2 linked regions of the Kluyveromyces lactis genome follow. The protein of the gene in region 2 interacts with the protein of the main gene of each other region in a pairwise test. Links are inferred from orthologs where the notes say so. Each region holds a gene or a part of one and is shown on either strand. Other genes may lie near its edges. The genes, in order: BUR2 and SGV1.

Region 1 (3,434 bases), on a different chromosome or scaffold from region 2:
GAAGGTCTCAGGGAACCTCTTGAGACTGTTAGAATCAAATGATGATTTAGGGATAAACGAAATAGACACTGCATCGGAAAGTGAAGACAATGACAATATGAACAACGATGAAAATGATAATGAAAGTAATGGATATGATAGCCAGAACCAGCGAGTAGGAAAAAAATACATTAATGACGGGAGAACTGATGGTGAAATGATGCCCGACAACTCAGATCTCTGGGAAACTGAAGATGAGTCGGATATTGACACAACTAATGACGTTAATGGATTGGACCAAATATACGCTGAAAATATATCAGTTTTTGAGGAGGATACTGGGAGTGATAGTTATAATGATGGTCAAATTCAACCGGTGCAAATATCTATGAATGACTTTGCTGATAGTGAAAGTACGCCTACTAAAAAGCCACGCACTAAGCCGACAAAGATCGATAAGGAAGGATTGAAATACTTGAGAGTTTTGGAAGGCTTTCATAGGATTGGTGTAATTTCTGGGAGAGAAACACCTGATAGGATAATTACACATAATACCTCTGCGACTCCAAATAAATATGGCAACTTACTCGATGATGTACAATTCACCCCACTCAGCACAATAAGCTCTTTACTAAAAAGAATTGACTCTGGATCAGATTCTAATCATGCCCATTCTCCCGATTCGTTTGGAATTTCGCATTCGCGGTCAGGAAGTTCCGTATTTTCAGATGGTGCCCCTAAGTTAGCAGATCAGCCTTGGTCAAAGATCTATGAATTGGATCATCAATCGCTTTCAAGTTCTGATTCTGATTCTTCTTCTTCTACTGAATTTATACGGCAGTTGCAATCGTCTAAAAAGGTGAAGGACAAGGCTGTACTGTTTGAACGGCTCCTGGCTAAGAGTAAAGAAAGAAGCGTTTCGTTGAAGGAGAAGAAATCCCATGCATCAAGTAATAATGGTAATTGCCGAAAGGTGTCAGATGATTACTTGGCAGAAACAAGAAGAAACGCATCTCCAGCACCTTCATCAGTTTCTTCGATAGATACTGAAATGAGATTAACAATGCAAGAGGTAAAGAACAATTCAAATGATCATTTTGACTCTCATGCCAAGACGAAGAGTTCATCCACTCACGGAATAAAACATTCTAAAATTCATCATAGAAAGAAACTCAAAGCTTTGGTCATGGACGGAAATCGGATTTGCTACGAAAAGATAACAGAATAACACGATGACTTGACGACTTGGGGAATATACTACGATACTGCCTCAAGCCCACACCTTCATTTTCTCACATTTTGTCTATGAGTGTTGATCACAACTGATCTCAACATATAATACAAATGTATATATATAGTTACCCTACATTCATGATAACTTCCTTTTTATTCAGTGAATTACATATGCATCGTTAAAATCCACTGGCTGGCATTGAATCAGGAAAGAGAGACGTACACACCACTACAAACGTCATTTCATCCCAACCAACCATCTCATATCTACTCCGAATTTTGAGTCAATTTGAACGAATTTCTCGTGAGCTTTAACAGATTAAAAATGGTCCTTTCAGCCAGCGAAGAGATAGCTAATTCCCAGCCCAGTGGTAATGGTAAGACGTCATTAGACATCAAGCAGAATGAAGGGAATCCTCAATTCAATCCAAGAAATCTTTGGCCTGATATAATCAAATGCCCGAAGAATGAATGGACATTCGAGTATACTGATATAATTAAAAGGTTAGGTACTGATGAGGAGAAAATTCAATTGACGAAGAAGAGAATGGAGAAGTGTCTCATGTACTTCCATAAATTGAGGAAGGAGATGAAACTTTTCGATCATACTTACACTGCAGCATGTATATTATTCTACCGTTATTGGTACAAGTATGATCTTCCGCCTACTATACCTCAATGCATCCATTTGGCGCAAGCTATTCTAGTTACGGCCTGCAAAACCATGGAAAATAACAGACCAACTGACCACTATATAAAAGCAACTTGTGATTTCATGATGAAAGATGGCCCGTCCCCAACTGGTCAGAAGTTGAACGTGGAGAAATTGAAATGGGAGGTCAGGGACCAACTTGTTTCATATGAAAAGAAAGTGTTATGTCAGTTAGGGTTCGACCTTGACATTGACAATCCGAAAGAACTTATAGAGGAAATATTCAGTGGATATTACAGACATGTTAGAGATACTGATATTGATGCATCACTTCGAGAGATTTTCCCCGTGATTTTACAAGAAGCAAGAAATTTCATCATCCAAACAGGAACACAGCCAATTTCATTGCTATGTGATGGATACACACTTGTGGCCTTAGCCCTAATATTCGCTGGTGTGACCTTTCAAAAAAACAAAGAACCGGGCTTCAGCTTCCCTCATAACTTCTTCAGGAGGCGTTTCCCAGTAATTATAACCAGTGAAATCATTGCTTCGTTGTTCTCGCATTATCAACAACTTGAAAAAGCCTTTTTCGATTTGAAGAGCAACAAAAATAGCGCTTTATCCATTACTGTTGACGAAATAGACAAAGTGATAGATGAAGATAGACAGTTAGATCCCGAACCATTCAACCCTTACGACTACGACATCATAAAGGAGGGAGAAGTCAATGAAGAACTTTTGAACTATACCGAAAGAAAGATCGAAGAGCTTTCGAATAGAATCATGTCTGAAAGAAGCATAAAAAGACCTTCAGAGCCACCCGCCGAACAAGCTACGAAGAAACCGAGATTTTGAAAATTAATATAAACTATGTAGTATCATCACGACTCCATTGACGGACAAACTCATTCATACCTTTTTTCCCTCGATTTTGTATGCACTATTTTATGACACAAAATCGTCGCTTCTTTTATTTCACTGTCGAAGAATGTTGTCAGATAAAAGATAAAAAAGGGTTCGAAGAAAGAACCACATCATTGCATCATACTATTTGCGCACGGAAAAGATACGAAGGTTCACGAACGGTGGCAAAGTGAACAGTGTTTCCCATCAGCTATAATGTTTGGCAAAAAGAAATCTAATTATCAGATGCTTAGTGCAGAAGAAATTCGTCGCAGGAAAAATGCCAAAAGAGGCATACAGTTCTGCATGTTGGTGATAGGAGAATCAGGTTTAGGCAAGTCCACTTTTTGCAATAATATCTGCAACCAAGAGGTTTTTGGACACGAAGAAGAGGGTTTTGATCCTGCCACCGCACATTTGAGCCCAGGCATTGATATTGTGTCCAAGAATTTCCATTTACAAGAGGAAAATTCTACACCAATAAGCCTCGACATTGTTCTAATTCCAGGTTTGGGGGATAATATCAACAATTCTAATAACCATGAAGTCGTTGTTGATTATTTGGAATCCCAGTTCGATCGCGTGTTGAATGAGGAAATAAGAATCAAGAGAAACCCAAAAAATGTTGACACTAGACCACATGTTTGCCTATTCTTCATTAGAG
Region 2 (4,135 bases):
TCAAATCATTTTCCTTTTTCCCTTCCAGCGTGTTTTTTGGGCAATATTGACATGAAACATGCAAAGTTCCGGTACAAACCTCAAAATGTCCAAGAAATAGGAAAATGAAACAATAAAGCTATGATAAGATCGGTGGAATTATTATACCGACATTCTAATCGATACTCAAACACAGTGTGAAAATGAGGCACTGTTTGCCTTCTTTTAATTATTTGTGCAAATCGGTACCTATTTGCTTGTTGGAATTGTTTATAGCAAACACATCGAGCATCAGTTGAAACGTTCGAGGAATTTCTGTGATGCACCGCCAACAAAGAAATTACCCCAGGGTTCAATTCTGCTGGAAAGTGCATAACTTAATGACCATGTTTAAATTGTTTATCAGTATATTTAAGTTGCTGCTTGGTGATTATTGACGTGCGTAATTTTGATTTGGTTTCCAAATCTGGATACATCAACAATGAATTTATACCAGCAAAAAATCTTCATCAGCCATAATTTCCCTTTTATACGTAATGATATCATTCACAGACCACATATCATAATCTGGTTAGCACTTTAATGGATGAATTTCTGGGATACATGAAGAGAAACAAACGCACTTTCCCTCGTAAACTATCTATATACTATTTAACAATCTCGAAGCAGCAGGCCACTTTGGGGAAAAAACATGTCAAGTTGGGTTTAAAAAGTAGAAAAGTACCAGCATAGTTTCAAGCCCAATTTAAATTTAATCAATAGTAGTCTGCAACGTCTTTTGGTTTGACATTGTTGGAATGCGATGACTTGGAATCTTTTTGCGTAGATTGTGAGCTACCATGGCCAATGGTCCCTGGATTTTCAGAAGCTCCCGGTCTGTAACTTCTCCGATCACCAGCTTGGCTGTATTGATTATACCCTGTATTTCTAGAGGTATTGTAGTCCTGATTTTGATATCTGTTAGGATAGGATCCTCCTCTAGGAGCAGAAGGACGTTGTATAGTAGGATGATGCGAACGATCAGCAGGTGGAGCATAATTGTTATTATAATTTAGACTGTCTCTACCAGTTTCCCATCCTCCTCTATTACGGTAACGTTTCCCGGCATTATACGACTCGGTAGTAATTCTTGTATTCACACCGAACCTTGATTCAGCCGGATATTTCGATGCATATGAATCACGAGGATTCGGTGGTAATTTATTTGGTCCAGTCGGTATACTGTTTTTAGGACCTTTTGGAAGAGGCGCAGTCGGAATAGGTTCTTTGGGGATGTTCTGAGTTGCTGCACCATTGTACCGTGAGGCGGAGGGTTGCGCTGGAATGGTTGATTTTATGTGTTCTGGTCTAGGAGCCTTTGGTATTGAAGCCTCTTTTGGAAATGCAGCACCTGTCACAGCTCTTATGGAATTATCAGTCGATGTATGTCCTGTTGGGGCAGATGGCGGTCTTTGAGACATAGATTCGTTCATCTCACTTTTGTATCTTTTAATATCGGATTCGTGGCATTCTTCGTTAGGCAAAGTTAGCTGTGCATTTGGCAACGGTTCTTCGAAGAAGAAAGGGTGTTTTTTAGCCTTCATGGCAGTTACACGCTTGTATGGATCTAGAGCTAGTAATTTAGAGAGAAGATCCAAACCTGTCTCGTTCAACGCTTTCGAAAATCTTTCTTGCAACGTACTTTTATAGTTTGTTTTTGTCAACTCGGATCCAGGTAAATGGTAAGCTAATCCCCATTCATCCATCGATGGTGTTCCCATGAGTTTGAAGATGACATGTCCTTGATCAATATCTGTTTGACCCTGAAGGATTGGTTTTTTCTCAAAGAACTCAGCAAATACACAACCAATCCCCCAAATATCAACTGCCGTAGTGTAATGTCTATCACCCAATACAATTTCAGGAGCTCTGTACCAACGTGTAACAACGACCGAGGTGTATTTAGCACCTGATCCAGCACCACCAGGATATTTAAGATTTGGCGGAGAACCATAATAGTTTCTTGCTAGACCAAAATCTGCAATTTTTACGACACCTTTATGATCTATAAGGATATTGGCTGTCTTAATATCACGATGCAAAAATTTATTGCAGTGAATATAGTTAATACCTTCCAACAGCTGTAGCATGATGTTTTTAACATCAGCCATGCCGAACTCCACTCTGGGGTTATGTAACAACCCTGTTAGATCGGAAACCATGTATGGTAATATCATGAAAAAGTGTTTACCTGTTATGAGCTTCTGCTGATTTGCCGTGTTGTTTCCATGATAGTTCCCAACAGGTCGAGGAGACGTACTATCTGTCTTAGGAGTTGGTGACTCGTCGTAGACAATCTCAATCAACTTTACGATATTTTTATGATTCATGCGCTTCAAAATGGTAATTTCCCTCTGAGCTGTTATTGGAAACAAATCCTTTTCTGCTCGTACTAAAATACGTTTAATAGCAACCTTTCTATTTGTGCCTAAATGAATCCCTTTAAAGACTTCACCGAAAGTACCTTGCCCTAATTTTTCTTCCTCACGATAGTTGTTCAGAAACTTAGTAACACCGTACACCTTTTCATTTTCTCTGCTTTGAACCTGAATGTACTCCAAACCAGTCTTATCATCTTTAACAACAGTGGGTATCTGTTTCACTTTGCCTATCTTATACTTCAAAGACGCAGGCTTCTTATTCACAGTGCTCATGGCTATAGTATTCTTTATTCAATGCAAAGGAGCGATAGCAACGATTTTTGTAACTCTTACAACAAAAACTCCAATAATTAGGTTTTATGATACTTTAAACTGCCATGTGATGCAATAAATGACCGTTCACACAATAATTACTGATTGCAAAAGGACCGTTGTTGTACAAAGCGAATTTGACATTCATAACTATTCTTTAATTTGAGTTTAAATTTTGCTTAACATGTTATACAGGTTGAAATTGTCATTATTAAAATAATATCACGTGACCAATATGGCGTTTCTACTCAAGAGTCACAACCGCTTTAAGTTTATAACTAATAACCAGCTCTTTTGTAGATGCCATTTTGAAGGTACGGTAAGTATTCTGGGGCCTTTAACTTCTAAACAAGCCTATGAACTTCAGTAAGCCATAGTTTTACACTCATTTCAAAAATGAAATCAGACATCGGCATTAAGAATGAGTCTTATTCTACTTCTAGCTTCAATGAAAGTATATATCACTGCAGAAACATTTCGTGATCTTCTTGGTTGTCAATTAGGATAGCGCTTAATTGCGCCTTTTTGGAATATATAGTATTGAAATGACGCACGAAAAATAAAGCACTTACAAACGAATAGGCCGATCATGAAACAGTCATCCTAAACGTCCATCTGCTGAACATCTAGTGACATTGTCTAGAACACGCTGTTACTTAAGGAGTTCGCCAATAAAAATAGGTTATTCTAATGGGAAGATGATGATAAACTTGTCTCGTTCTTACTCCTGAAGGTGAAAAGTGGAGAGCATTCGAAACAAAGGAGATAACGGTGTTTGACTTCAATATTTCACTTTCTAAAGCTAAGCAATTATCAAAGTACCTATTTACTAAAACATATTTGATGGATATCACAACCCAGCTCCAAGAACAGCCTAGTTCACTGGCTGAACTATTCTTTTAGCTGAAGCTTGAACGTTACACATTTGTTTTATAAAGATACTCTCATCGCTAAGATAACAAAAAGAGCACAAAAAGCACCTCCCTCAACAAAAAAAAAGGAAGCGCTATCTCGTATGCTCTGTAATTCTAATTATACGTGCGAAAAATGGACCAAATTACGCAGTGGAGGTGAATTATCCAGCAAAATTATTTGTATCATAATATATGTTTCTTTCCTTGGCTGTACAAAATTGTACCATTTTTTTTCTTAAACGACAGATGTTACAAATTTTCATTGAGATGGCCTTTTTTTTCTTTTAACGAGAAAAATATCGACGTGATATTTAAAGATGAAAAAAAATAAGATACACTGATGATGAACTTTCGTGTTTTAGGTAATGAAAGAAAGTGTTAACTCTTGCCAGCGGTTCTTTTAATATAAGTTGTTTATACCATACTACGCTGTAGATTATATCAACACACAACTCCCATAGTTATTCAGCTAACCCTTCAGAAATAATGACTGAACAAGATCTAGCCAAG

What was found.
Region 1: the proteins of SGV1 (region 2) and BUR2 interact in binary tests that used the Saccharomyces cerevisiae proteins (3 or more experiments, as listed by UniProt). The link is inferred for Kluyveromyces lactis from reciprocal best matches to the Saccharomyces cerevisiae genes SGV1 and BUR2.

The regions. Positions count from the first base shown.
Region 1 is NC_006042.1:1,211,313-1,214,746, reverse strand, and holds BUR2 (Bur2p), read left to right. Parts: upstream 1-1,537; coding exon 1,538-2,722; downstream 2,723-3,434. Other genes in the region: MFB1 (Mfb1p), read left to right, coding at 1-1,207; septin SPR28, read left to right, coding at 2,987-3,434. UniProt on the Saccharomyces cerevisiae protein: Component of the BUR kinase complex involved in transcription regulation.
Region 2 is NC_006040.1:891,492-895,626, reverse strand, and holds SGV1 (cyclin-dependent serine/threonine protein kinase SGV1), read right to left. Parts: upstream 2,673-4,135; coding exon 735-2,672; downstream 1-734. Other genes in the region: ERG13 (hydroxymethylglutaryl-CoA synthase), read left to right, coding at 4,112-4,135. UniProt on the Saccharomyces cerevisiae protein: Serine/threonine-protein kinase component of the BUR kinase complex involved in transcription regulation.